Linked DNA regions of Arabidopsis thaliana. The protein of the gene in region 2 interacts with the protein of the main gene of each other region in a pairwise test. Each region holds a gene or a part of one and is shown on either strand. Other genes may lie near its edges. The genes, in order: AT1G49200 and CRK39.

Region 1 (15,315 bases), on a different chromosome or scaffold from region 2:
AGTTTTTTTTTTCTTCAAATGAGACTTGAGTGCTGATTGTGCCATTGGCCCATACCTCCTCCAACCCTAAGATGCTTGTGTATAGGGACTATCACTTTTCCAACATTAAATTTGGAAATCATTTATTTATGCCCGACTTTAAATTATAAAACTTTGTTTTATCATTTTTGTCCTGTGTTGAGTCTTGATAAGCTAGATTCTATTTGATTAACGTTATTATATGTTTAAGTCTGGGTAGTATTTGCAAATTTTATTCTGATAATTCCCAAGTATCTAAATGTCTGCATGTATATGGTTCTCTTGAGGTGAAATAACATGAGAATTGGAATATTTCTGGAATACTCAAGTAAGAGTTTGGATCCAATGGGTTTTAAAGTGTCATTAAAAAAATTTCAGGAACGTTATAAGTAGAGCTCACTTTTGCAAGAAACTGGAAATACTGAAACACAGAGCTTTAATCCTGTTTTTTTAGTTATGCATGTACCATTATTGATTTTCAATCTATGAATTTCTTTGGTGGAACCTATTCTTTAATCATTTACTCTTGAACGCCTATTCTCAGTGTTTGTCTCTCGGTGTACTTTTAAGTACTTTTCCTACTAAATATCTGTTAAGTAAATATCTAGTTGTTCATCGTTCCTGCTAAATATCTGTTGAGTAAATATCTATTTATTCAACGTTCGTACTAAATATCTATTTGTTCATCGTTCCTACTAAATATCTTTTCTTGTCATGATAATGTAGAGAACTTCGGTATGTGCTAGGATGAATAGGCAGAGCCTATTGTGTAGCAGCTCTTTTGCTTTATAACGGTATGTCGACGAAACTTTCTTTATAATACTATTAGCATAGTTACAATATATGTTATATTACAAAAAGGTTAGACATGAATCTATCTTACTGATCAAGGTCTTTAGGCCAATAAGTGGCCAAGATTTTCTTAAAGCACTAAGATAGTATTTTGAAACATTATCTTCTAAAGCTATCATTGTTCTCTAGTGCTTCTGTATTTACATACTTTTAACGCGTATTAATATAATAGGATAGTTCTCCCCCACCAAAAGAACATTATAATAATTGCGATAGTAGCAGAAATTTGAACATCTTTGTTATAAATTACAGCTATGATCTATTGATATCCTACAGTTGTTCCAGTAGTTAACTGAAGTAAAATTTATAGATTGTTGAGAGAGTTGAACAATTTTAGACCATTGCATGTTGAAGTAAGGGCATTACTTAAGCTAAACCTGCAATTTATCACAGCAAAAGATGTGCTTAGGAAAACTTTGTTGCAGTTTTTGTACTTACAAATACTTCGTTGCAGTTTTCACAAGCTCAATAACATATTACCAGATATGATTTGATACCATCTAAGATGCGTGTAATGGACATATGCTACCTGTAAACCACAGTCTTCTGTTGTTAACCAATAACCCTTCTTTTTTGTGGAAAAGCTCAATTACTCTATTGAACTCTCATTGTTAAGTGGGGCTGTGCTTATTAATTGAACTTTTCAACACTTTAGTTATATCTCATCCAATAAGAAATGCCTAGGATCTTAAGCCCTATTTGAACCATCATATTTTTATGACATGTTGCTTCATTTTAAATTGCAGGATCTCCAAAATCTCGTAGTTAGTTATTTTTTATACAATAGGTTGTGGATTGCAACTTGTTTGGCTGTTTTGAATCACCCAGTGATCAAGATTCTGAGTTTGGTATTTGGAGAATCTATGAAAACGACTAAGATATCAAGTGGTATATCACTATATCTAGTGAACACTCCATGCATTCTTTTATATTAGCATAACTTTTTTTTTTTTTTTATCATTAGGCCAACTTTGTAGTTTTCTTCTGTTTTCATACTAGGAGATAGGACTTCCAAGATCTGAATCGTTACACTAAGCCTTTTGTTCGTTCAATTTTCATGAAAATATCTTGCAGTAGCTAGTGTACAATACCCAAGATGTGTGCCTGTTGTGGGGAAAAGAAGAACAATAGAGCAAGTATATTAGATCTAGACACCACGATTTGATACAAACTTTAGTACCAATTTGATAAGATAAAGGGTGGGTAAGTTGAGGCATCAATACGGTAACTGGTATCAACCCTCAGAGTAGAGTAGGAGATGCTTGTGATAAGAATCCTTGGAAGTTTAACCGTATTTGGTTTAATAATGGTGAATGATTTCTCACTTATCTTGCTTCATACCATCACTTGGATTTTGGTGTATGAATTTTGGGGATGGTATCTACAGATCAACTCTATGTTTTTACAGTGTATTTTGGCTTGGATATGTCTGGTGTCAAAGTTAGATCTCATAAGATGCGTTTATCACTGACTGGCGGTTTAGATTCTTACAAGGCTATGCATTCCCCAAAGTAGCTTCAGGTCTAACTTGAAACTTATGTTGGTTGTTTTTCTCTATTATTGGTTGGGTCCATATTCCTATGGCATAGTTTATTTCTTTATCATTGGGGGGAAGGATCATCTGACATGTGTTATTTGCTATCCCGATGTGTGTTTATTGGTTTTGCGGTATATAGGTAGTTTATGAAGTGGGTCGTGTCAAGTAGATAGATACATTTTTTCAATATCAAGCATACACAAGATGAGGTCTGCATCGTAAATGCATGCACTTCATAGACTAGACACTGCTGCTTTACACAAACCTTAGCATCATTACTTTTTGGTTCTGTGTAGAGATTGTGACACAGAAGAATATGATTAGACACCATTTGTTCTGTCTAATGACTTTTTGGTTCTGTGTAGAGATTGTGACACATAAGAATATGATTAGCACTTATCAGTCTTGGTTATAGATAATTCTTAATGTTTTTGGATATGAATGCATAGTTGACATGCCACCATTACAAATAACTTTGCTAAAAGAACTTTGATGAACCCGTGAGATGCTCTTGTAAAGTGAGATTATATTCGCTCTGTCGACACTTTGTGCTACAGGCAAAAAGAAAGACATAAAAGAATAGAAGTATCTACCTTTCTATGGCTTAGAATCTAAAATCTTCTATCTAACTGCTGACAGATTCTAGATTGATGTTGGTTTCTGCTTTTCTTGCATCTAGCTGCTTTCTCTAAAAGTGTTTACTCTTCCTTCAGGTTCTAGAGGATCAATCCTGACAATTACGCTCTCTGTTGGTGTTGATGCCATTGAATCAGCTTGACTGAAGTCACCTAATATCTTTTGACATGTCTCAACCAGACAGTGTCTGCATTTCGGACATGTCAAATGATGTTGAAGCCACTTGTCTATGCAACGAACATGGAACCCATGATTGCACTTGGGGAGCAGCCTGAGCTGTTCACCAGAAACAAAATCCGACAAACAAATGACACACTCTTCACCAATCCCGGGCAAGTTCATCTCACGTGAGTAACTCACGACTGGGAACATCCTCAGAGCTTTCTTCTTGATTCCTTTGTTTGATGAACTTCGTGGTGTTGAAAGACTGGATATAGGCTCAGAGATCATGAAACGTGAAGAACGTCTGAATGCACAGCGAATGATGTAATGTAACCCAAGGCAACAGATGATGCCACAGATGAGAACTGAGAGAAGCATCAGAACATTCCCTTTGAGGTTGTTCTCATGTGTTATGAGAGGAGATGGTGCAACCGCAAATACTCGAAGAGAGTTGTGGTCAAATGGGTCGTGCAGAAGAAGCTTTCTAGTGACAAAACTGCCAAGGAATTGTTCTTGCAAGGATTGAGCTGAAGCAGGTAACTCGTTTGCAGACATGTTTTACTCTTTGAAAAAGCTTTAAATCAAAGTCTGTTCTCTCTGCTTTTCTTGGCTTTGTTTGCTTATTGCTTTTTTAAGTTTTGGGGAATTCAAAGTGGTCTTATATATAGCATGAGATGCTTACTGATTACTTAATGGGGACTGAGAATTTTATAATTGGATAGTAATAATTATTGTTTAAGAAAGTGTGTTTTCTTCTTTTTTTCAAATGAGAGTTGGGAGAATATGGGACCCAGAAAGAGCTTATCCAATTCCATGAATTCTTGAGTGCTGATTGTGTCGTTTCCCCATACCCCCTCTAACCACAAGATGCTTGTGTCGGGACATTGAATATAGAATTAGTTCTTTTTGTGTTATATATTAGAAAACTTTCTTTAATCATGTTTGTCCTGTGTTGATTCTTTATAAGATGGATTTTATTTTATGTTGTGAGTCAGGGTAATATCTGCAAAATCTATTTTGATCTCCCTAAGTAGTTACATGTCTGCCAAAATACTCATGTAAGAGTTTTGCTGGATGCATTCATTATGTAGAAATGCTTTGGACCCAATGGGTTTAAACTTGAGAAAAGTTTCAGAAACATTACACTTTGGCTAGAAAGTTAAAATACTGAAACACAGAGCTTTAGTCCTGTCTTTTAATCATCTATGTACCATTATTGACTTTCTTTGGTGGAACCTATTTCAATCATGTTCTCTTCAATGCCATTTTTTTGGTGAACTTTTAAGTAACTATCATTTTGTTCATTGTTCCTACTAAATATCTTTTCTTTCTCTTTTGACAATGTAGGGAATAGACTTATTGTGCACAGTTCTTTTGCTTTATAACGGTATGTCGCAAAACTTTCTCTAATTTATAATTAGCCTAGTTTTGAATTATAGCTAGTATATGTATTATAATACAAAAAAGTGTAGAAATGAATCTTATCATATTGATTGAGGTCTTTAGTCCAACAAGTGGCCAGGATTTTCTTAAAGCACTAAGATAGTATTTTGAAACATTATCTCCCAAAGCTACCAGTGTCCTCTAGTGCTTCTGTATTTACATTGTTTTACTTATAACTCTGTGAATAGCAGAGTAGATAGTTCTCACCAACCTAAAGAACGTTACAATAATTGCAATGGCAGTTAACTAGTAGCAGAAATTTGAACATCTTTATTATATTGATGGCAATTTTGTAGAAAGTCTCAATTGTTGAGAGAGTTGAACAATTTTAGACTACTAGCTATTTTTGTAAGGGCATTACTTAAGCTAAATCTGCAATTTATCACGGATAAAGTTGTACTAACAAAATACTTTATAGCAGTTTTTACACTCTCAATGGCATATCATTGGATATGATCTGATATCCCTCAGATGCTTAATGGACAAATGTTACCTGTTAACCACAGTGTTCTATTATAACCAATAACACTTCTTTTTGGTGCACGGCCTCAATCACTATTAAATTCCCATTTTGTTAGTCGGGTATTACTTATTAATTGAACTTTTGAACACTTTATTTGTATCTCATCCAATCAGAAATGCCTAGGATCTTAAGCCTTATTTGAACCATCATTGTTTATGACATGTCTTTTGTTTTGATAACCTTGTTTATGACTTGTTGCTTCCTTTTATATTACAGGATCTCCAAAATCTCGTAGTTAGAAGATGTGGTCCTTAACTAAACCAGTTTAGTAGGTTTGCTTACAATGGGTTATGGAATGCTCAATTATAAGATTTTGATATCTTGATAATATATGAAAATGACAAAGATATCAAGTGGTATATTCATGTTGATCACTCAATCTTTTCTTTTATATATGCACAAGTTTTTTTAATTTATCATAGAGATGGAATTAAAGTAAGTTAAGTTTGTAGTTTTGTTTTTGTTTGCATACTACGAGATAGCAGTGAGTAGATCTGAATCGTTAGGCCTAGCCTTTTCTCGGTTCAGCTATCATGACAATATATTGAACAAGGTAGTGTGCATACACACGATGTGCACCTGTTTCGGAGAAAAAGTATATAGGAGTATACTAAATCTTGACACAACATGCACTACAATCTGATATACCTATTTGATAAGATGTAGGATGAGTAAATTTTGAGGCATCAACCGTCATTTTAACTTGAACCTTCCACTGTTTGGTTTGATGTTGGTAGATTTATCCTCACTTTAAGATTTTGGTGTGTGATCTTGTGGAAATGGGTTTTCTCGACCAGGACGGTTCTTACAAATCAATTCTACATCTTTGATAGTATATCATGGCATAGCTATGTCTGGTGTCAAGGCTATATCCCATAGGATGGGTTTATTACTTGACTGGAGGTTGATAATCTTAAATGACTATGCATCCCCAAACTAGCTTTTAGGAATTACCTATATACTTAGATCGGTTGGTTTTCCTTATCATGGGTTGGTTGGTTCCATATCACTTTCCTATGGCAAAGTTGATTTATTTATCATTGCAATGAAGAATCCTCTGGTATTTCTTATCTTGATGACTCATGTGTTGATTGATCGATAGTGTTTTAAGTGGGTTGAGACAAGTGGATAAATACATTTTTTCTTCACGAACTTCGTCCATATGTCACTATCAAGCATACATGAGATCAGATCTGCACCGTATATGCATCTAGTTGTCTAAACACTACTTCACACAAACCTTGCCATTCATTACTGGAAACCATTTGTTCTGTCTACTGAATGTGTAATTCTGTGTAGTGATTGTGACACATAGAAATATATCACACTCTGGTAATAGATGATTCTTAATGTAGTTTACATTCCATTGAAAATTTTACTTTCTCAAAAAGAAGTTTGATGAAGTCGTGAAATATTACTTAAAAGTGGCATATATTCTCTCTGTAATCTGTATACACTTTGTGCTACAGGCAAAAAAGAAAGACATAAAAAAACATTGAGGTATCCTTCTATAGCTAAAGACATGAACTAAGCTCAGATCAAAAATCTCCTATCTAACTAAATCACGAATTTTGATTTTTGATGGTTTCTGCCTCTCTTGGCATCTAGCTGCTTTCTCTTAAAATGTTTACTCTTCCTTCAGGTTCCAGAGGAGCAATCCTGACAATTACGCTCGCTGTTGGTGTTGCTGCCACTTGATCAGCTTGACTGAAGTCACCTAAGATCTTTTGGCATGTCTCAACCAGACAGTGTCTGCATTTTGGACAAGTCAAATGTTGTTGAAGCCACTTGTCTATGCAACGAACATGGAACCCATGGTGGCACTTAGGTAGCATCCTAATCTGTTCACCGGAAACAAAATCTGACAAACAAATGACACACTCTTCGCCAAGCCCCGGCAAGTTCATCTCAGGTGAGTAACTCACAACTGGGAACATTCTAAGAGCTTTCTTATTGATTCCTTTGTTTGATGAACCGCATGGTGTTGAAAGACCGGCTATAGGCTCAGAGATCATGAAACTTGAAGTACGTCTGAATGCACAACGAATGATGTAATGTAACCCGAGGCAACAGATGATGCCACAGATGAGGACTGAGAGAAGCATCAGAACATTTCCACTGAGGTTGTTCTCATGGGTTATGAGAGGAGATGGTGCAACTGCAAAGGCTCTTTGAGTGTTGTGGTCAAATGGGTTGTGCAGAAGCAGCTTTCTAGAGACAAAACCGCCAAGGGATTGCTCTTGGAAGGCTTGAACTGAAGAAGAAGCTAATTCATTTGCAGCCATTTTTTTAGTCTTTGAAAAAGCTTTGGTCTCTTCTCTCTGCTTTGCTTGGCTTTGTTTGGTTATTGCTTCTTAAGGTCTAGAGGAATTCAATGTGGTCTTATATACAACTTGAGATGCTTACTGGTTACTGAGTGGGGACTGAGAATTTTATAATTGGAGTCTAATAATTCTGTTCAAGAAAGTGCATTTTCTTCTTTTTTTTTTTCAAGTGAGTCTTGAGAGAATTTGGGACCCATAAAGCTTATCCAAATTCATGAATCATTGAGTGCTTATTGTGCCATTTGGCCCATACCTCTCCAACCACAAGATGCTTGTGTAGGGACTCTCACTTTTCCAACATTGAATTTTCTATCATTACTTTTTGTCTCACTTTAAATTGGAAAACTTTGTTTTATTGTCTTGTGTTGATTCTTGATAAGCTGGATTTTATTTGATTTCCATTATTCAGTGATTGAAGTTTATTTTATTTACTTTAGATTTTTGTTGTTTTTTTTATCAAGAAGAGGAAGATTTTGTTGTATCTTCCTCGCAGTTTAATGCTTTGCCGACAATATGTGGTGTGTAAAGTAGTAGTCTTTTTGCTTTAGCATTAATATTTCTTTGCTCTTTCCATGTGTATATGTTTTGTTGCTTAATAGTTCACTTTACTTAAAAAATTTAGAGAATGGTTGGGTGGTAATTTCGATTTTAACATTTTAATTTTTGGTATACTTCATAAAAATAAAGGCTAGCTCCTTTCACTATTTCTATTGTTTGCTACTTAACCAAATATATTTGAATATGTTGCATCATAGTTTAACTCGATTTTAAAAGTATAAATGTTTGGAGACTTCATAAGAAAAATTACTACATCCTTCTACTATTTTGATTTATTGCTACTTAACCAAATAGATATTTGAATTTGTTGCTCCTTCTAGTTACCTTTTCATTGTTGAGCTTCTAAAATTTTGAATCAAAATTGAGAAAATAAGTATGCGATAATATTTATTTGCAAAACACGCTATTTTAATATGACATGCATGTTATCTCTTAAAATGACATGCAATTTATACATTATTTTAGCTATTTGTAAAAACCAACGGTCTCTTTTAGTTATGATTTTGCCAATTTTTAGACCAAAATATTTTTATCTACCTAAAAAACTTGTTTTTCACGAAATTTTAGAGAGTTTTTATGCTTTTGAAAGTTTATTTTTAAGTATATATATAGCCCGATCCTCTGATATGATTTACGATCATAAGATCTTCCCTAACTTTATATGATTTACGAAATGTAGGGAAAAATATCAGATCATAAGATCTTTTTGACTTTTCCTATGCTTACTAAACTATTTTCTCTTTACGGGTAATATATTGCAAAATCTGTTTTGGTATTTCGAAGTATCTAAATGTCTTCATATAAATGGTTCTGTTGTTTGTTTATTTGTTTCATGTTCTTGGTCGGCATTTGTTTATTTCTTCTATACCTTTCAAGAAAAAGGAACGTTTATAAATTTATACGTTTGGATATGAACTTTGTCGCTTTCTTCCCCTAAATTTCCCCAACCTTAACACCAAGTCCCATGTTTCTTAGTTCTTAATGCGCTTTTTTATTTGTTTCATGATCGTTTTATTTAAATGTTTAATTCTTCTAAAGTTTTCTATGAATTTATTTTTTGGGTGTTTTTCTCTTTTCCTTTCCGGATTCAATACGTTATAAGCTGATAACAAATAAATAAAGTATTCTCTTTTCGATAACAAACTAATTTTCTTATCATCAGTTTATATGATAAAGAAACTCTTAGAATTTTTATAAAAGTTCCAATCCAAATTAGAGTTAAATCTTGCAAAAAAATAAAATTGGAAGTAAGTCTTTCTTCACATGAAAAATACTGAAGCTTTGACTAAACTTGTTCATATTTAAAAGTTAACTATGTGGAGTTAGTGGAACAATGGAACAGAACAAGGACTTCTACAGTTCGTTTTTTGTTAGTATTAGTGTGTAATTTTGAATAAATCATTTAAGTATAGGGATAAACTTCTAAGAAAAGTAATATTTAAATGCATATACAGCATATATATCATGTAGTAAGTGGAGGTCGGAATAATGCATTTCACTTTTAACCAAGATTATATTTGTCAGCAAATTTTGATTACTAAGCTAGTATGCATACCCTTTTTCAATTAAAAATTATTTACCTGATAAAATGATTATATTGATTAAAAGACTTTGGAGCTATAGTGCTAACGAAATTTGTGGACAACAATTAGCCCACCAAAAGAGAACAAGTATGTGATCCTTCTTCTTTTATCTCTTTTTTTAATTTGCACTTTCAATTATTTTAATCAGTGATAATGTAGTAAAGCCATAATAAGTATTTAACTTCTATTTTGATGCGCCGTGACAAGCTAAATCCTCGGATTTATTACCTCCATCGTAGTCGAGAATCGTCATAAAGATTTTGCATCTCACATAACCACATGTTTTCTGTAATTGACATACATACATATAAGTAGCGATCAACTTGTTGAAAAATACTTTCAAAAGAACATGACCACATACTTAGAATAGTACTTGTTGATCTTGTTTTCCTTCTTTTATCTTTAAGATTTGAACTTTTTCGTTTTTTGGATTTTCATTGTTTGTTCTAAGATGTTTTTCTTTTTGTTTCATTTTTGAGATCTCCTCATTTCTTAAATCTTTTAATTTCTCTATAACTCATAGATCTTATAATTACCCTTTTAACTTTTAGAAGAAACAAAAAAATTCTACATAATTTGGTTTCTCCTGTCACCATAACGACTCTGCCTTTCCATAAAATTCACAACCATACCAATTTCTGAATTGTTATATGTTTTTTCGAAACAAGGTTAATTACAAGAACCGTTAACTTCTCTCATGTACTTTTGATATCAAACATAGTTACGCGATCACACAAAAGAAATAACTTTATAATATACGAAACAAGAGAGTTTTAATGCTTTAGGTTTGTCGGGATTTGATCCTAAATTTTAAACTTTACATTACACTTTGCTTTCACCGAGATGGGTCATGTACACACGACTGCCCTTCTACATGCATTGTCATATAAAATATTTGTATAAATCTCCACTTTTTTCTTTAGGCCCTTTGTAAGAAGACATCATCATAATGATTATATAACAAAGAGAAAGATTTTGTGGTGAGAAATATTATGTTCTTTTCTAATATCTTTCACCACAATTTCTTCTCTATATTATATAATCACATTATCATTTTCGTTTAATTTACATTGATTTTTGGTAATGAATATGAGTTCTTTTTTCTTTAACTCACCCTTTGGTCATGTTCTATGCTTAAGATATAATTTCATGTATTAAAAATAGAACTTTAATTTTTTTTTGAATAGGATCTCAAATATTAATTTCCGAATTGGTCATGTTTGTATAGTGCTCAAGAGTAATACGCCAATCTCTTTCTATTTCTTCTTGTACCAAGAACATTTGTGCTATTTTTGTCTATTATCATCTCGTTAGATCAAAAACTTATCTGTTACCTTTTATTTTATTTTATGCAAGCTAGTGTTTAGAGTGTTCCAACCAGTTCTTTAACTCACCAAACACCAAAGTAAAATCTTCACATATGACTATTTTTTTTTTCCTTCAAATTAAAATCTGTCATTTTTGGTATTCGTTTCGAGGATTAGAAAAATAAATAAAAACTACGTACTTATATGGATATTCTAGGAATCAACCAATAATCTAGTATATATTCTCAAGGATCCTTGTGCACCACTCTTCCTCAAGCTTAGCAACGGTTGCTCGTGTTAAAATGAGCAACTACAACAACGATATCTCATTATATCTATATTTTTAATATAATATTAAATTATATTCAAAATAAAATTATCGATTTTATAATTAATGCAACGTTTGATTTAAATAGAAATATAGCTGAAAATCTAAAGATCAAAAGTTGTTAAATACTGGATTCAAACCACATTTGTAGCCTTTTGTCATATCTTAGCTTCCATCTCCCATCAGTTTGAATCTCATTATATATGTAGCTAAATATTAGGGTTGAGACATGTTGAATCAATTAAAAACATAAAACGTAGAATCGACGAACATTATTCAGTTATATATATAGTATTGGCTTTGGAACTGCAAATGTTTTGACTAATTAAGGACATGATCAAACCCCATATCCGTTTCTTCCGGATGTATTGAAATTTCTCTTGTGGGAGTTTTTGTGTTTTGAAAGTTATATGTTCTTCTCTAGACTCTAGTCTCCAGACTCTACCCATTATATTGGACATGATGGGATCCCATCTTCAAATCTTTTTGCTTATGCTTTTTATGTACTTGTTATATATAAATAACTTTAGTTTTGTTGATAAATAAAGTTCACATTCCAACAAATAACCAAAAAACTATTCCTGATTCCAATTTTTTTATTTATTTTTGCATATATGTTATATCATGTACACGTCTTTAGTAAAGTGCTCTAATTTTATAAATTTTAATCATTCACGAGAATTAGCAATTCGTTGATTATAAATTAGAATCCAGTTTCTTGTTAATAACATTATTATTCCATAAAAAATCTATGAGAAAGGAACAATGGGTTTATATAATGAGTTTAAATGAAAGAATAATGAAACAATATTGTGACTCACAAGGGAAGTCGCATATTATTTGTCATACATAGACTGCCTTAAGTAAAGAGAAGGGCTATATGACTAATTATAATTGTAGCCATTGATTAGATACTCTTGTGGATCATATGGTAAACTTGGATAAGTGAGTTCAAGATCTGTCGCAGAGAGGCCAGAGGCTTGAAGAAGTTCTTCATTGTTCATCAGGTAATTAAATTGAGGAGAAGACTGATGTTGCTGTTGGTGATGATGGTCCAAATAGGGCAAAGGAGGCGGAGGATTGGTTATGATCTGGTTGTTGTTCATTGTCAAGAAACCATTTTGATATTGATTCTGCTGGATTTGGTTCAAAGTGGCTGGACCATTCATAAGGTACGATGGTATTGTTGTGTTGACATTGTCTGAACCTTGGAGAGAGGGAGCTAGTGTACCATACGCAGTGGCCCAACCATTCCCTTGTGTTTGTTGAGGAATTTGGTTTTCTTCAAGATTGATACGGTGTTTCTGTACAGCAACACAAATTCAATGACTTGGAACTTGTATTATATTGGTATGTGAAAAAACCAACCTAATTCAATGGTATACTTGTCATGAAAGAAACAATATTTAGCGTGTGTGTTTTTTTCTTTACCTGAAGATGACTTGCCACATTGCTTCTAGTAATTCCTTCTATCCTCATTTCTTGCAAGCATTCGACAAGTACCTTTGGGTTAGCTTCTGCATTTTGAAATCCAAAAATAATTACATAAGAACCAACATTAATCAAGAGATTAATGAAAGAGTTAGCTAGAGATTAAAGAAAAGTTTGATTACTTTCGATACCACCAATTATTTCGATGGCTTCCAGAAATTTTTGGTGAAGCTCTTCGGTCCACGTCATCCGCGGCTTCCGTGGTTTTTTTCCTTGTTTCTTTTCCATGTTTTGTATGCCGTTACCTCCGTTTATGGTTATGGAATCAAAGTGGTCTCGGTCTAAACCGTCAGTCGGAACCAGATGTGATTGAACCGGTTGAAATACTTCACTCCATGTCATCCGCGGTTTCTTTGCTGCTTTGTTGAACATGTTATCTTCGTTCATGATTTGAGAATAGTCACTGAATTGGCTAAACTCATTGGATTGAACCAGATCTGATTGAACCGGTTGAAGTAATTCGTTCCATGTCAATCGCGGGTTGGTTGCTGATTTGTTGAACATGCTATCTTGGTTCATGCTTTGGGAATATCCATTCACTTTGCTGAACTCGTTGGCTTGAACCAGACCTGATTGAACCGGTTGAATTTCTTCGGTCCACGTCAATTGTGGTTTGGTTGCTGCTTTGTTGTACATGCTATCTTGGTTCATGATTTGGGAATAGTCATTGAGTTGGCCGAACTCTTTTGTTTGAACCAGATTTGATTGAACCGGTTGAATAACTTCTGTCCACGTCATTCGCGGTTTAGGTGGTGCTTTGTTGAACATGTTATCTTGGTTCATGATTGGGGAATAGCCATTCACTTGGTCGAACTTGTTGGCTTGAACCAGATCTGACTGAACCGGTTGAATTTCTTCGGTCCATGTGATCAGCGGTGTCTCATTGATTATTGGTTCATCTTCTACGATCTTGAAATCAGCTTTGACTTGGTCTAAACGGTCAGAGCGAGCCGGATCTGATTGAACCGGTGGAGCAACATCCGGTTTAAAGATCAGCCTCTTCCGTACAATGTGTTGCCATATATTGGCCATTACCTCTTCTTTAACCGGTTTCACAACATAGTCACAAGCACCGTAAAATGTTGCTTTCATCACAGATTCCGTTTGATTATCATCAGACATAACTACACAAATATGAAATAGATTGTGTTATTTTTCTTTAGTAAAAACAAATTTGGTTTAATTTAGTTTTAAAAGTAAAAAAGAGAGTTTGAGATTCACATACTCACTACAGGTAAATCCAACTTTGAAGTAATGCTCTTGAGAGCTTGAAGTCCATCAATTCCAGGCATATGAAAATCCCAAATCACAATATTGATTTCATGTTTGCAGCTTGTCAAAAACGCAAGAGCTTTTTCTGCATCTGTCTCAATAGACACTAAAACACAAAAGAAAAGAAAACTGTTATAAACCCTAACCCTAACAACTCTCTAAATCCTCATAGTTAGAGAGAGAGAGAGAGAGTGACTCACCTTGATAAGCGTATTGTTTCATGATTTGTTTCATGTTGAGTAGAGTGGTGAAATTGGTGTCAACAACAAGGACATTAGTATTCCCCGGAAATTGGCTGAGAAGAGAAGTGATTTCAGATGTTTCTCGCTCCAAAGAGCGAGTATTATCTTCATATCCACTTATCTTTCCCACCAACATTGGAATTGATTTTGTAGAGAGAGAGAGAGAGATATTTTTAAGTGAGAGATTATGTGTATGTTGAAGTTGTATATGTCTTATTACAAGAAGTTTCGATGCATTTTATAGTACAAAACCAGTTGTTCTTATCATCAAGAATTGACAAGTGTCGAAATTAAGCTATGAAAACTAGTTATTATTCAACAGGTGTACATTATACAATTTATGAGAAAATACATAAAAAGGAAATATAGTTACAACAGAAAAAAGAATACAACTGGTACTTGTCGAACCAACTAATTCAATTTTATTATAAAAAAAGAAAAGAAAAAAAATGCTATTGAATTTTGCCCTTTCCATATATATGATATTTATGCTATAGATTTCTTTTCTTAATTAATTGTAATTATATAGAAAATGAAAGAAATCCAGAAAATGTGAACCAATTTTAGAGTTTTATATTAAATGCTTGACAGTAAACAAACATTTCTAATTAACTTATAGGGATTTACTTCCAAAGATAAGACTTTTCCCAAACGCTCACTGAAACTAACATTTTCATATGGACCATTTGCCAAAAAAAAAAAAAAAAAAAACATCTTGTTATTGTCTTAGCTAGTGAGCTAGAGAGATTTGTGGGGGCTGTTTGTTACTTACTTGTCTATGAGGCAAACACAATGACAAAGCTAAACGACGGTGGTGAAGAGTGAAGACTAGATATACACGAGACAAGTCATCAAGACTAAAAAATACTAGCACAACGTTAATATCTTCAACGTTAATATCTTCAACGTTAACAACTTTTTTCTCTTACCATTGTGTTTTTGTTTCTCTCAGAGGCTTCAGAGCCAATTCCCTTTGTTGTTGTTTCTGTCATAACGAGATAGAGACATGTAGATGAACAGGCCCTTGTTTGACGACTCT
Region 2 (17,193 bases):
ATATAGTTTCAGGTGTTAGTTTTGCAAATATAACGTTTTTGTTGGTTAGTTTTGCCAATTTCCCTTTTTTCAAAAATGTTGATGAGTCTTAGGTCCAACATTTAAGTCCTACCCAATTCGGTCGAGCCTAATCGTCATACACATGTGAGTTGAGTCATCATCCATTACAATTGACTAACATATGTTATCGATGATTCTGATTAAGGCAAAATTTGAAGAGTTCAAGTATATTTTTAGGGTAGAAAAATAAATTTTAAACGAAACAAAAAATTGGACCGTTATTAGGGTAGAAAAACACATCAAACAAAATATTGGAACTGCAATAAGTCATATTCCCCTTTATAGGCAATAAATGCATCATAATTCTATCAAAGTCGTGGAACGTCATTTTTCAAAGAACGTGAAATCATGTTTCTGCCAAAACTGTAAAATCATGTTATGTTCTAAAACTAGCAAATCCGAGTAATTGCATTTTCTGGCAAAATTTATGAACTCATGAAATCGTGGTTTCAAATAGGGATTTAGCAAAAAACAGGAACTGGGTATACCTGTGCTGGAAGAGCTGATGCACAGGGTCCACCCAAAATTTATCTTTTTTTTATAAGCAAATCTATTATAATTAGGGTCCAAATTTTTTTATAGAACGAAAGATAGGAAATGATGACTATTTCTTTTTTTCGACCCAAAAATCGGACCTGAAACCAAAGCCAAAAATTTAGATTTATCCTATTGGGTCCTAAACTCCTCGACCCAAACAACCAAACAAGAACCCGACACGAACCCAAATATACCCGGATATTTGATTAGAATATCCAAATTTACCGAAAACCCAAAATCTTACCTAAAACACGAGTATTTAATATAAAATTTGGGTATTGGTCTTTAAAATTGGCCCTCTCTAACCAAAAGATCCTTACTTGATTGGGTTTTAGCCGAACCCGATCCGCGTACCCGGATGTCTACACCTAGTTTTAAAGTTTTGGTGCAAAATACATAAGACCTTGAATATAAGGTTTTGGCGGGAAAAATGTATGCATAAAATGTCTTTCAAAATTATGATTTCACGGATTTTGTAGAACGGTAAACAGTATTCTACTATTTTTGGTGAGAATATGGTATTGTACTATTTTTTCATCTATCAAAATAGAGAGAGAGAGAGAGAGAGAGAGAGAGAGAGAGAGAGAGAGAGAGAGAGAGAGAGAGAGAGAGAGAGAGAGAGAGAGAGAGAGAGAGAGAGAGAATCTAAATTTGTGTTCATGTTTGAGAACAGTTCTTAATTTCTGAATTACCTGTTACATCTATTCTTCTAGATTGATTATTAAAATATTCTATAGCTCAATGTCTTTAATTCATAAGTTTAATTGTCAATTTATTTGCATTTTTATTTACAACTCTGAAAACAAAACAAACAACTTTTTTTTTTGTTTTAGCTAAGAACAAGTCCTAAAACTCTTTAGAATATTAACCATGTATATTTACCTTGCGCTTGTATCGAGGAATTACTCGAGCAATCAAACTACATAGTTATACCATCAAATGTAGTTTAATAGTTTAGTGATTTTGATGGGAAATAGATAATTTGTTGTTTCACTGTTTTGGTGAAAGAATATTATTTTAAAATATGATAATATATATAAAGTAAAACTATCTTGGTTATCGTTGTGATTTCTAGATGGAAATTGTGTTGTATATAAACTCTCCTTTAAGTTAAAAATTTAAAACTCATCCAAGATTTTTTGTTCTTAAGTTACATTTTCCAAATGCATCAAGTTATTAAGTCCAACTCATATAATTAAATGTTATTTAACGAATAATGTCTTGTATATGCATCTAGATGCACAAACGAACCACTTCTAATTTTCTTTGATGCTCTTACATTTTTTTCAAATGAATTTTTCTCAAACCTCAGCATCTTTCTTTTGTTAAAAATAAAATTTTAATATATGAGTCAAACTATATGTGTCAATTTGATCTAATCTAATTCATCAACCCTAATAATTTTACTATTTGGATCATAATGAGTTGATGGGTCAGTGAGTTAGTGGATCGTTTGGAGTAAGTTGTAATGGTTTATGGTTCACCATATTAAACCATAAATTATCATACTTAACATCATCATTAGCTTTATTAATATCATCATGATCACCATATAATCATCATCACCTTTATCATCAATTTCTTCAATATAATCACAATATCATAATTTTCCAACCAAAAAATGAGATTCTGTAATTCTTTTGCTAAAGACACTATTTCACAATTTCTCAGATAGTAAAATTGAACAATTTTCTGCCAAAAATAGATGGTTTTCACAAGTTTTCCACCGCAATACGATATCACACTTTTTCCGCTAAAATATTAATCTATATTTTCAGTCATTGATGGTGAATAAGGGATTCATACCTCATGGATCAACCTAACTTATCACATTAATGATTTTATTATTTTGTTCTAAATGAGTTGATTGGTCAAAGAAATTATAAGTAGATGAGTTGATCAGTAATCAGGATCGCCCCTGATCTAAAGCAAGTAAAGCTAGGGCTTTAGGTGCTAATAATATATCATCATTTATAGGACATCAAATACGGGAAAATTATATGTAGCACAGTGACAAAGTTAAGTTTTAAGGTTAACATGAAGTCTTGAGTTTGAGCCAATATTTTGTGGTTTTTGAATATTTTTATATTTAAGTGTTATGGGTTTTAAAAAAAAAACTCATGCTTTAGGTAGCTATGCACTTTGGGCCTGCCTTGTCAATAATATGTAATGGTTTATAGTTAGACAAAAACTTTCATAAGATTATAATTTTTCACATCATAATTATCTTCATACTATCATATCATCATATTATTAACGCCACCGTCATCATCATCATCATCATACCATATTTTCCCCACAAAAACAACCTTCATAAATTTTACGAAAAACAAGGTTCCACAATCTTTAGCCTTACCTTTACCAATAATATGATTAACTATTTGGACACATCTACTTGCAGTACTCTATACAAATATGATGAACATTTTCCACAAACAACGATTCTACAATGTAACTCCATTTCTATAAGAAAAATGATTTCATCTCCCATTTATATTTTATATCACCTACAACTCATTTGTATTCATAGCTTTTTTTAAGAAAATCTAATTTTAATTCAAAATAAATATAATTCAAAGTTCTTTTTGGATGATTATAAATTTATTTATAACCTTTGGTTAAAAATAATAATAATTAATAACAAGGCTATTATTAGAGAAAATATGTTTGTTTTTTTGAGTTTTACTTTATTTTTACAAATATTCAGCATATATAGATTTAATTTTAGAATAAAAATAAAATAAATCTGGTAAGTATTCATTTTAGATTTTAAAATTTATTATGCATATTATTATTAGAGAAAAGAAAATTTGGAGTTGTCAGAAGATAATTATTTCTTAAAATGCAGTTTTATATTTATTTTTAGAGAATAGTAAAATCAAAAATTACACGTGACAACAAAAACATGTACTAGCACTAAATATTTTTTTTAAGGTTATTTTTGGGGAAAATATATAAATATATTTTTATATAAATTATCAGTATGTAGTCTAAAGTTTTATCAAACTAAGAGTTTTACAAGAGACAGAAGAACAATGAGAGGACGGATCGTTAGATCGTACACTAGGTCAAAAGTGCCGCATTGGCGTTGGACAGATGATCTTAATCTCCTTTTTATTCAAGTTGTTGAATTACTTGGTGGCGAAAGAAGTAAGCAATTTTTTTCCATATCGCAAAATTAAAATAAAGACAATTCTTCTAAATAAATTGAGAGAAAAACCAATCGCCATTAAAATAAACAATCTCCTATTTTTCCTTTAAGATACCTCATCTCTCTTATTTTTTATTATTATATATTACACATGATAATATTTTTCTTGATATCATCTTTTAGATTAACTATAATTAATATCAATATTCTCCTTAAATTTGCAGGGGCAACTCCTAAGGTTATTTTGGATTTTATGGATGTGAAAAACCTCCCAATTTCACATGTGAAAAGCCATCTTCAGGTCTTTATAGTTTATACACATAATCAGTTAGCGATATAAGATACGTCTATATACATAACATGTATATGCATTAATGTAGAGTATCATATTTATATTTAAGATAGTATGTAATGAAATAAATATATATTTTTTACTTTTATTAGATGTATAGGAACAAGAAGAAAGAAGAATCTAGAAAAGGTATAAGTAATTATCTTACATTTAAATTAACATTTAATAATTATGTTTGTAGTGTAACGTTGTATATGGTAGTATGTTGATGTTCAACATAATGCATAGTGACTTTATATCCTTTTCATTTATAATTATGCATGCTCAATCCTTTGGCAGAAAGGAGAATGATGCGAGAAATGAGCAGGAGGCAATCTCAACAATACATTCAAATCTACGAAAGTGCTCGAGATGCTACCCAATTTATCCAAAATCAACAAAGGTTCTTATGTTCATGTATTGAGTTAGGTTTTTGTATAATCGATTTTTGATTTGGTAAATAAAACAATTTTTTTTTTCAATTGTTTTGTAGGGTACAATTGGATATTAGTGAGAAGATAACTCCAGTTTTGGGATCAAGTAACAAGTCTCTCTATCAATCTTCAAGTGTATTTTTTCTTCTTCTTCTTTTTTTTCTTACATTAGTATCATGAATGATCATCAACATGTAGATTTGAGGCATATGAAACTAGATAAATATATACTTTTTCTAGGTGAGACTTAATAAAAACAGAGATAATGATGTTGTTGTTGCTTGTGGTGGTGCAATTGGCGAAGAAGAATTGTCCCTTGAACTCACTCTTGGGCGCAAGTACTAAGACAATTTTGCTTTCTATTTTTTTTTAATGCTTGATCTCTATATTATTTAATGCTTATCCCATATACATAATGAGATAGAAAAATAAAAACCAAATAAAATATTATGGTAGTCCTCTTATAATATGCTATAATGTGATTTTTCGTCCATTATATGGGTACACAAATATATTTAGAAATTTATTTAATTATGTTTTACAAGTTCTCAATATATTGCTGATTTTGCTTTTCCTAAGAATATTTATATTTTATTTGGTACAAACCAATATAGCTATTATATGATGTAAGTACATGTCGTTAAATGGTACAAACGTAAAACTACTAAATATTATGTACTGGTCGCAAAATGGTACAAACATAAAACAAACAAGCTTGCTTTGAAGCACAAATAAGTCACCAAAAGAGCTATTTAAATGTTGTTATAAAAAAGGTACTTAAATGTAGTAGAACATTTGACCCAAAAAAAAAGATGTAGAACAATTTTGTTTGCTATTGATATGATCATGGTGAGGAATCAATCCTAATTTCGGCACTTCAAAGATCTGGAGTGGATATTCTCGAAATGGATACGACACACGACTCAAAGACGAGATGATGGATTGAATGACGCCACAAAAGGATGCGGAAAAGCCTTTTGATAAGTCGAGAAAGATCAAAATTCGACATACGAATAGTGAGTTCCATGATCACATCATCTATGATATAAAATTGAAAGCAACTTTGAAAATATTTGGTTGCATTAGATTTTGTTTAGGTGTATATTTAGAAGAAATATGTTTGGAAGAACTATATTAGGTATGTATTTCTATATTTTTTTCTTTGGAGAATTAAAGTGAAAATAGTAAGGAAAATTGCTTAGATTGTATTTCTTAAAAAAAATCTTTCTTATATTTCTATGTAGAGTAAAATAAGAATCAAGTAGAGTAGCAGAAATTAGGAATTGATACTTTATCTGATTAATAAGGAAATATTCCTCTTATATTTATTCACTCATTCAAATAATCCAACTACAAGGCGATAAAAGGCAAAGCTCCAAACGTTTAAGACAACAAAAAGAAAGGCATTCCTCAATGTCAAAACAAAATAGATAAAGTAAATCAACAATGATTCCACGAGAGATTTGAGACAAAGACTAGATTGTGTTTTATCACATGTGAGATCACGGTTAGTCGAACGATCTTCCACGAACAAATCGATGGAAAACATGGTGGTCAGTGTGCATCGACATAGTGATGTTGATGAAGAAATCAAAGCTGTGATTCTCGCCGGCACGAGAAGCTCTATAGGGAGTAGAGCATCATCTAGGATTCGAGAGACTATGGCTTTATAGTCGGATACAGATTGCTTTGTGACACAACTCAGAGACTCGAGATCTCTCTTGTGACAAACAAAATCTTCTTCAAAGAACATGATCCGAAACTTAGTCATGGTGGAAGTTGGATGGTACTTGAAATTGTTAGATGGTATTATCATAGAGGGAAACTTAGGCATAGATTTTCCATGATAACATTCATTCATCCAACAAATTGGATTTGGGAACAAAGGTCGCAACCATAGATGAATCATAAGCCAGAGTTCTCAAAAGATACTTGTTAATCTATATCAACGAAGGTGAATTAGTTCTGAGATGGAGTCGTCGACCATCAAGAGCATAATGTCGACCAAAGATTGTCAAAATACAAATTGAAACAGACCTGAATATAACGTTGTTGGGCTTGGGCTTCACACGTGTTAATGTGCCGAATCTAGGGACAAATCCCTTTAGGTGAAACCCTAATTTCGTGATTGCTGACCAAGGTGGAAAGAGAGTGCAGCAGTTGATCAAAGCAGAAGGATAGATTTGCGATGAATTATGCTCCTTCAATGTAATAAGATTCGTTGGTAGAAAGCTATTGACATTATCTGCGGCGGAGGCGGTGAACAAATAAAACATGGGTTTTTGAGAAGGATTTATCACTCTGAATAAGGAATCACCATGCGTCGTCGAAAAACATCGAGAATGGCACATCTGATGGTCCAAGAGAGAGAACTCTTGCCATCAACGAAGTCCATGTTGAAGAGTTTCCAAGAGTGAACAAAAGTCCAGATCCAAAATAGTCTTCGGCGGTGGTCTTCTGGTCCGCCGTCAAGGAGGTTGCGAGCAAAGCGAGGAGGAGGGAGTTCGCCAGAAAATACTTTTGTCCTTGGTCGCTGGTTATTGAGAAAACGTATGGATCTAGTGAGTTCGAGAAAGTTGGAGAAATTTGAAGAAAAATAAACAAATTGGGGGAAAAAATCGTGAAAATGAAGACAAGAAAATTAAAAACAAAGTGATGAAGGGTGAAACTAGATATTTCTCGACACCGGCGAACAAAAGCTACGCCGATATCGGAATACGTGAACGGAAGAGGTGCTTCGATGTCCGTGCCTGAGAGAGAAAGACACTCTTTTTAAAAAATATTTTTAAGAAAACGAGTCAGAAAAGATTTCTTATTGGTCAGATAAAATTGAAATCAACTTTGAAATATTTGGTCGTCATTTAGGTATATAAGTAGAAGAAAAGTATTAGGGAGAACTATATTAGTTACTTGATATATACCTTTATAGGAAGTGATGTCAAAATACTCCGAAAATTCCTTATAATATATTTTTATCAACAAAAATTAATTTTAATATTTATGTTCAGAGTAAGATATATAAGAACACTACCAATATTAGATATATCTAAACAACCTAACTTATATAAGATTGTATAAAACCAAAAATGTCTCGTGATATACGGTTACTACATAACTATTGTAAACTATAAAATATCAATGTCTTAGAAATGATACAATTTGTAAGCTTTCAAATATAATAAATAATCATTAAATTTTATAAATTACTACTTTTAGAAAACAAATCATGAGATTGGTTAAAAAATCATCGTACGGGTTATATTACAGAACAGACAAGTTTGAATCAATATTTATAAAATTTTAAATGTCACTAACATGTCGTTTCAATATGAATTAAATTTTCAATATTTTAACAATTAACCCGTGGACTTGTGATATCTATTACTTAATAACAATTATAAACGAGAAATAGAAATATCTTATAAATAGATATAATTTGCAAAATTTTATATATACTAACTCTAAAATATAAATTTTAAATCTAGCTGGGGTTTAAAAATATATTTTCAGCTATTTATTTTTCAATTATATTTATCTGTGCAACATTTTAAGTTTATTTTATTTTATTACCTCTATAATATCAATTTGTGGTAGTTTTAAAACAAAAATGTATAAATAATTCATACAATTTTTTCATCTCCTTACATTCACTCAAAATACCTAAAAGTATTACTATTAGATGACATACACAACATATACTTTAAAAAGCACATTTGAATTAGCTAATTGAACTAACGATAACTCCCTTTTGGAACCAACATTCTGATTAACTCAACGACAACTTAACTCCGTGAAGACATCGTCGCTCATTGACATTGCACCAATTTCAGATTGGGATCGACTTCCAGTGAAAGCAGGAGCTTTAGGTAAAGGAATGATATTTGTCTCACTACCAAGCCAAATTATTACAGAGCTCATTGTTGGTCTCTTTGTTGGATTCTCTTGAACACACAACAAACCAATTTGGATCAACTTTATGATCTCATTTCTTGGTTTCTCTATTAAGAACGGATCAATTATAATCTCAGGCTTTCCTTCAACCCATCTTTTCCATGCCTACACCAAAAGTTTTTGAAGATTAGAAAAACAAAAACTGATATGTGAAGAAACTTAGAGGTCGCCGGTTCGAGTGACGCTTGGGACGAAACTAATATTACATGCTGTGGTTTCGGCCCAGAACCTCCTGGTATTCAAAAAAATATATATATGTGAAGAAGCTTACAAAAGCTGCAAGTCCTTCTCCTTCGAAGCTATTGTTTCTTTCACCACTAATCATCTCTAGAAGCATAACACCGAAGCTATAAACGTCAGATTTAGCTGAGATTTGTCCATGATTCAAGTATTCAGGAGCCATATATCCACTGCATATATGCAAACCAATAACATTAATTCATGGACTCTGTTTTCAAAACAGAGCATTTAAATATACCTTGATATATTTCTTACCGGGTTCCAGCTATTCTTTTTGTTTCAGCTCGAGTCTCATCGGAGTCGAACAACCTCGCTGTCCCGAAATCTGCAACTTTAGGGTTCATCTCTGCGTCTAAAAGTATGTTGCTTGCCTTCAAGTCTCGGTGAATAATCTTTAGCTGCGAGTCTTCATGAAGATAAAGAAGACCTCGAGCAATGCCTTCTATAATTCTGTATCTCATCTCCCATGTAAGAAGTGAACGCTTCTCATCATCTGCAAAGTTCAAAGAAACATTTAGTTTGCTAAAAGTTCTAAAACCATCCAAATTGGCAGCTGTCTTTCGAAGTCTCACCGAAGATAAAGTGATCAAGACTTGAATTGGGAACGAACTCGTAAACAAGAATCTGTTCATCTCCTTCATTACAAAATCCAAGAAGCTTAACTAGATTCCTATGCTGGAGTCTTGTCAATAGCGAAACCTCATTCTTGAACTCTATATCTCCTTGTCCTGAACCTTTTGTTAACCTCTTCACCGCTACCTCTTGCCCGTTTAGTAATGTCCCCTGAAACCGGTCCACAAGATTTGTTATTCACCAAAGATCAAGATCAATCAAGAACTCATAATTAGTAAAACAAATGTTAGTACTACCTTATAGACCGTACCAAATCCACCTTGGCCAAGCGTATTTTCCGATGAGAATTCATCGGTAGCCGCTAAGACCATACCAAGATCAAACCGTAACATGAATTGACCATCAGAATCAGAGTACTCTGCACTTCCAACTAAAAGAAAAAACAAGAAGATATAAGACTTACTCTCTACATCATGTGGTTGATTGAAGCAAGAAATAATGTACACTTACCATTGATTTTGTTGTATGATTCTTTCCTACGTCCATAGACTTTGATATAGCCAATAAACACCAAAATATTAATGAAAGTAAGAACCACAACTATTGCAATAATTCCACCATATCCAATGCTTCTTCCTAAAAATCATCAAACCCCTTTTAGCCTAAGAACATCTTTATCATACTAACAAACTTAAATAAGACTCAAATCAATGTTTTACCTTTCTTTTTTGTTATAGAGCTCTCGTTTCCCTGAGCTTGAGGTCGAGGAGGCGCAGGAACTCTTGTTACATTATCAAAAGCACCATGGAAAGCATATAGATCCCACCTGAAAAAACAGCTCGGACGATAAACCTCGCCTCCTTGTCTTCCCCAAACCTGTTCTTTGAAAAGCGTCACGCATTCTCCCAGACATGTTTTGCAATCTTGGGAAGTTATGTCGGGTGTGCATTGCATCAGCATGTAAACATTTGGAAACTCTGTGAACTCGGCTTTTTCGGCACTATAGTACTTAAGTACCGAGGAAGTTTCAGCTTCTGTGGCAGACTCGACGGTCCGATTAGCCATTGCATTCCATTCTTGTTCGAAAAGAGTCATGTTTTTCGATGGCTCGATACTATTCGGACTTTGGTATCTAACAGAAGGTCTAAGCTCGAGGTTCCCAAAAGTTGAGTGGTTTGAGGTACTTACAAGACAAGAAACATTGTCTTCCTCGTCTTTGTCCCACGTGAATGAATCCACGCGGTTTAGACAACTCGTTGTCGTTAGTATACCCTGTATCGCACTGTCGACACACCTGATACAAGCTTGTTGCTCGTATCCTCTTCCGCAGAGAGCAACAGCATGAACTATGTTGGGACTTTTGCCGAGTGAAGAGTTGTAGAATCCACCGTTGGTGACGACTTTATTAGGAAGAGTAGAGAAGAGATCGCGGCGATTCTGAGCGTAGCTGCTATTACCGTTGAAGAAGCTTCCGGTACATCCGACGGCGTTAACGATTTCCACGTTTTGAAGGACAATAAGAAGAGAAGAAGCGATAAAGATCATCAAAACAGAGTATTTCCCCATATCTTTTTGATCATACGTTATTGTTACGAGGATAATCAATTACTATAGAGCTTTTGTATATTATAAGGTGACTTGAGACAACGAGTACACACTACTTGACTTGACAAAATGGTGTATTGGTCAGATTTTGTTACTACTAGGAAAGTACTCGGACATACGCGTAGGTTCTCATGTCCATATATGTATACAGAGATGTTCATGTTCAAATTTTATTATTTTATGTGTTTTCGTTGTATAGTTAGGATATAATTGAAATACGGTAAAACCTCTATAAATTAATAATACTGAAACCGAGAAAATTTATTAATTTAAAAAGGTATTAATTTATCGATTAATTAATAAATTTAAATTATAGAGAGATTTTACAAATTTTGTAACTTTTTACAAAAATTTAATCTAAAAGGTAAATGAGACCATATATTTATATAAGATTTTCAAAAAAATTATTATCTTATTAATATATTGATTTGTATCAATTTTTACATTGATCTCAACTCGGAACGGAAGAATTTATTAATTTATATAGTTATTAATTTATCGAGAAGTTTTACTATATATTTAACATAAAGTAATACGATATTGACAAAAGATAGAAAGAAAGTAGTATGATATGTTTGTTATCAATCCCATTTGACAAGTTTTCATTTGTGCGTTTAAAACAACTATAGTATACATAACTGCTTAGTAAATTGAGAATGTTTATTCCTATCAAAACATACATTTTACTCACAAAACCTTACTTTGGAAAGTAATTGCAAATTTACAAATAACTTTTCATAAGTGATATTGACTAGTGAGGAAGAAAAACAAAAATTAGCGATTTTCAAGTAGCCTTTTTTGTTTTGTCAAGTAGCATATTAGAAATGTTATAAATATTTCGTCGTAGTTGGCAACGGTGACCAAGTAAGTGTCTACGGTTCTTAGAAATTCCATGATTTTTTTTTTTTTTGTCATCGGTTTTGTTTTGAGCTCAAAAGAATCAATCTTGCGGAATATTGTTTACATAAGTGACATAAAACGATTTAGTACAAATTTTCGTGCCAAATTGTCCGTTTTAACATTTGCATTACAAAAAATTAAAGATAAAGAGAAGCTTGTGAATTCTTCCTTGTCGCTCTGAAAATCCTCCAAATATGCTGAAAACGCCGACTATTCGGTTGAGGAAAAAACTATCTTCACCAGGTCTGAACAGTATATAAAAAAGGCTACATCTTGGTTGTCGGCACCAATCATACACTTTATCGTCCAGAGTAGAGTTTCGACTTCGGTGTAAAGTAAAAATTCCATGATTGATAATGAATAATATTAGGTTCCAAGTACACTAATACTTTTTTTCTTTTTTTCTATATTTTTTTTCTGAAAATACTTTTATGGGTGAATTGGAAAACTAACTAGTTTTCAACACTAAATTAAGAAAATAGCACTATAATTCTAGAAATTAAGAAACTAACATATGAGAACTGGGAAATATCCACTTTATTCTTATTTAACAGACCTTTTTCCTTCATCATCTTCTTCGTTGCTTCTTCTCTTCTCCCCAATTCAATAAAAAATTTCCAGAAAAATTAACTTTTTTTTATCTCAATCCATTCTAATTACAAACATCTATTGATTTAAAAAAATTAAACCCTAAGGATGATACTTTATATGAACCCAAACAAAAATAATTAAACTAAATGAAATCATCTCAAGTTTCAGTTTTTAGAAGTCTGAAAAAATCATGTTTATATACTCTTAATCTCTTTTCTCCTTTCTTAAATCGAATTGAAATCGATTCGATTTTGGGTTTAAATTTGTGTTAAGGAGATATTGATCAAACCAGAAAATATTCAATTAGATCTGGTGAGTCTTCGTATTTGTTTTCCTTAGTTCTAGCAAATAGAATGTAACAAAATTGAAAGTAAAATAGAAAACTATAGTTTTGTTCTGTTTTAATGAAGGCGATATAGAAAAAAAGAGATGAGATGCCAGAGATAAGAGGTGAGAGGTGAGAGGTGAGAGGTGAGAAGGGTAAAGTGGTCTTAATATACAAAATACAAAAAATATCACAACAGCTTTTTTTTTTAGGTTAGTTTCTTAATTATTAAATTTTTTTGGTTATAGATCCAAATTTCTCTACCTTTATTCCTATTTTTATTTAATAAGATATATACATTTTTTTTATAATTATTTTCTTTACTTTTAATTTCTTTTCTATAAAATAAATAAGTATAGTTGTGTTATAATGTTTTAGTAAATTTATATTTTATTTGATAAGATATATTTATCTTCTTACCACACAATATGGTCCATTAAAAAGTTTATTTATGAGCCTTTTCTGAAAGTCCTTGTTTGTTCTACGTTGATTGTTGTAATTCTTCGTTTATTTGCGCTGCCGCTACCGCTTCTTCAACCTCTCGTCCATTCCTCCCGAGCAAGCTTTGATCTGTTTCGCTTCTCTCAGGTTTGTCTCGAATCCGAAAGTAAATTTTAGTGAAGATTGACATGTTAAATTGTTTCTTGTCTGTTCATTAACGCGCGGCACGTCGAAACTTAACCTAGATTTTTTTTCTTCTTTTAAGAATCGGAATCCAAAATTTGTCATAGTGAATGATTGGATTGAGTTGATGGGGATAAAGTAGAAACACTAATTCGGTGGCACTGTTCAGATGATGGCTTTATTATGATTTCTCGTTGAATGGTTTTAAATGTTCAAATGTATATGGTTTTAAATGTTCAAATGTTGTTTGATATGAATTAAATGTAGGAAAATTATAAAATCTGCCATATTTTTCCCAATCGTTATGTAATCTGCCATATTTCTTCGGGCATTACAACTCATACCACATTTGGTTGTGAAATGTCCATTTTGTTCCCACGGTTTACTGAGCAGTTTTCGCGCTCAACAACTGCGTCTTTTTACAATACCTTTTATCTCTTTTTCATTGTAAACCGTGCGGAAAAACAACAACAGTTAACTCTCTCTCTTTCGTCTATCTCTCTCATACTTTCCCTTTCCTTCACCGATAACTTTCATCGGATTATGTCTCCGGTAAGGTCATTTCAAGTTTCTGCATGTTGCTATCTTCAATCATGTCTTCATATTTTATTCAGTGAAGTATTTTTGGAAAATCTTTAGCAAATCCCTTGTTACTGGTCTGTTATGAAAAATCGAGTTTGTCTCCCATTATGATTTTAGATAGTTCGTCCTCTCCTGTGCGATTCATTTACCCAGAAAGTTCGAAAACCTTTAGCAATTAAGCCGGTTGATTGAGTTTGTTCCGATTAATCGAAATGTCCCCCATTACAGCTTTTAGGGTTTTTCGTCCTCCTGTGTGTTTAATTATTTTATCACATCGAATAACTGATTTGATAATTGTTTGATTTTACCCCAACGCAGATGAGGTCTTCCACCAGCAAAGCGAAACAGAAGTCAGCGCTTGGCGGTGCCAGGCGGTCGGTGTCCTTTGAAGACGACGACGATCCATTTCTCTCTGCCAAATCAACCGCTGAGCAGAGCTCTGATCCGCCAATAATTCCTCGCATCCCTGAATTCAATCGGGAAAGACTTCCCAAGAGACTTTACGCAACTGACTGCTATCCGCTGAATGGGCGTATAAATACATACTCTAAGCCTAAGTACCTTCTTTATCTCGTCGATATTCTAGATGGGACGAAGGAGTTAAACTACATTTGCGCCCCTTGTTTTAGTCCCTTTTTTCAATTTGAAGTCCGTAAATGTTCTTTCTCCGGGAAACTGGTCCACCAGATGTTGTGTAGAGGCCTCTACACAAGGAAAAAACACGAGATTTGGTTTGTTTTTGCCGGTCAGCCCTTCCGGTTTTTGTTAAGGGAGTTTGCCATTCTTAGTGGTTTGAATTGTGGTCCTTACCCCTCTCGGAGAGACATATTGAAGTCGCAGCAACCCATAAATCTGAGACATCCTTACTGGAATGTCCTAATAGGTAAGGAACACAAAGTCGTCCTCATCAAGGATATATTCAAATGGTTGAAGACAGATAAGCTGAAGCCTAAAGAAGAGAGGATGGAACCTTGGAGAAGGCTTTGTCTCGCTGTTATAGTTATTGTTGAGGGGATCTTGATCTGTAGTTCCCAACCTGTAAAAGTTTCTAAATAAGTCGTTGAAATGGTGAAGGACTTGGAGGCTTTTGAGGCGTATCCCTGGGGACGAGAGTCCTTCCTTCTCACAAAGTTAGATCCAAGGTCAGCAATCTCCCAGGACTAATCACGAAGTTCAATCAGTCTAACAATTCAACACATGGATTCCCTCTTGTCTTCCAACTTTTTGTCTTTAACGTTATCCCTGAATTGGAAAGATACCTTCCAAACCCCGATGATACGCAGACTATCAGTGAGACGTCTCTCACCAGTTTGCCTCCGTTGAAGACTTACCACAACTCCAACATAATGGAGACAGAGCTAATTCCTAGGGTAATCTGTGGACCTAATTTTATTAGATTCTTATTAGTCTCTCACTAGTTTGCCTTTGATGATTTGTTTAGTTGATAAATTGTTTCGGCTTCAATGTAGTTGAGTATTTCTCCGTTGTTGCCCATTGATGATCCACCATACCCAAATATCAACGACTACTGGATCGATGAAGTTGAAGACCCGACGCTTGACTATATGGAAAGGGTCATTGGTAGCCGATACAAGTTCCAACAATCTGACTGGAGAGGTGGTTGTCGAACCTGGCCAAAGATCGTCGTTGATGAGAACCATCCTAAAGAAGACAATGCTCGAAAGGCAAAGAAGGTGCCTCCACACAGACCATCGGATATCCCTGATTCTTTCCAGGCTGGTCCATCTGGTCCCCAAAAGGGCCCTCTGCTAAAGGTAAAGGGAAGGTGCATGAAGAGTTCAGTACTCCACCACCGAGGACTGATGGACATGATATTCTCCATGGTCTGATCATGGAACAGGTTAATTCTAAATTTCGTGAATTGAAGGATGAACTGAAGGTTGAATTATTTGGGGACCTTACTGGTATGTTTATCTTAGAGAATTCTTTGTTAAAGGACGAACTATTAGACGAGATAATAAGCAATTTGCGCCATGGTGACAAGTTTCCAAGTCCCAAATCTGGTGGAAAGTCTCCAAAGTCCACTAGTGGTGATGGAATTGTCACTCCACCCCCTAAGGCTGCGTCCCAAAAGGACATAGCAGATGAGGGACAAATTAGTGACCCCGCGAAGAACCTCGACCCCAAGATTGTCCCTGAGAGACAAAGTAATATGCCCTCGCGAATCGCTGATTCGTCAAGCAAGAACCCTGCCCCAAGTGGACAGACTCATGCTCAACTCTTGAATGCATTGCAGCAGCAAGCCTGGTCTAATTATGGGGGATTGTCTGAAGTTATTAAGAACATCAACCAATCTCATGCATCTTCCTCTGGTCCTCCGCAGGCTGGAAAGTTTGGTTCTACTTGTTCGGATCCTTCTGGTGGTCCATCGTCCTCGAAATCCTCGAGTGATCACAATGTAAGTTTAATGGTTTGGCATCTATTACTTATCGTTAGAATTTCCTTTTACTTTAACCAATTGTGCTTACTTCTTATTTAGCCAAAAGACTTTCAAACGCCGCTGCAGACCATACCAGAGGACACAGAAGCGGAAGACCAGGACGCTGCTCTTGGAGACGCTGCTATTGGAGACGAGGTGAGTATTGTCCCTTTATTTCTTTTTTGGTATCATATAACATTGTAAATGTTTGCATAACATTTTTAAATAGGAAATGGATGGGAAGTCTGATAATGTGAATATTACTGAAGATCACAACGTAAGTTTCTAGATAGTTGTGTTTTTTTTTATAAATAATTATTTTGGTCTTGAGAATCTTATTTACCTTTAATTCTTTCTTTTTACTTGTAGCCCAACGATTTCCTAACGCCTCAAGATGAGGCTGTCTTAGTTAGTGACTCTGAATCCGGAGACGATTTTGATGACGGAGCAAACCAAGAGGACGAGGGTGATGATTCTCTTCAAGGGGACGAAGATCCCAAATAAAAGGACGAGGGTGATGATACTAATCCAGGGGACAAAGATCCCCAACGAGGGGACGAGGGTGATGATACTCATCAAGGGGATGGAGATCCAAAACAAGGGGACGAGGGTGATGATGAGAGTGAAGGAAGGTCTGACTCCGGTGATCAACAAGATGATCAGACCATGAACGAAGTATTCCTCATTTAATCCTTATTATATCTTTTATTGCGATTAGCAAACCTTTTGTTATTACTGTTGCTATACATCCAGAAGAGCTTCTTCAATCCTCAAAAGTTGATACTGAACAACTATCCGATCAAGAGGTATAAATCTATGTTTTTTCAATCTTTTGTTGTCTTTTATGGA

The links.
Region 1: the proteins of CRK39 (region 2) and AT1G49200 interact in a protein complementation assay, tested with the Arabidopsis thaliana proteins (one large-scale study listed by BioGRID).

The regions. Positions count from the first base shown.
Region 1 is NC_003070.9:18,190,439-18,205,753, reverse strand, and holds AT1G49200 (RING/U-box superfamily protein), read right to left. Parts: upstream 7,528-15,315; 5' UTR 7,457-7,527; coding exon 6,776-7,456; 3' UTR 6,586-6,775; downstream 1-6,585. Other genes in the region: AT1G49210 (RING/U-box superfamily protein), read right to left, coding at 3,083-3,760; AT1G49205 (uncharacterized protein), read left to right, coding at 6,966-7,091; RR19 (response regulator 19), read right to left, coding at 12,156-12,575, 12,673-12,788, 12,885-13,886, 13,988-14,140, 14,235-14,412.
Region 2 is NC_003075.7:2,253,230-2,270,422, reverse strand, and holds CRK39 (cysteine-rich RLK (RECEPTOR-like protein kinase) 39), read right to left. Parts: upstream 10,926-17,193; 5' UTR 10,844-10,925; coding exon 9,997-10,843; intron 9,914-9,996; coding exon 9,788-9,913; intron 9,708-9,787; coding exon 9,574-9,707; intron 9,488-9,573; coding exon 9,277-9,487; intron 9,198-9,276; coding exon 8,960-9,197; coding exon of another isoform or gene 8,956-8,959; exon of another isoform or gene 8,875-8,955; coding exon 8,736-8,874; coding exon of another isoform or gene 8,667-8,735; exon of another isoform or gene 8,570-8,666; coding exon 8,285-8,569; 3' UTR 8,103-8,284; downstream 1-8,102. Other genes in the region: AT4G04555 (Myb family transcription factor), read left to right, coding at 3,633-3,747, 3,973-4,049, 4,193-4,229, 4,380-4,442, 4,573-4,601.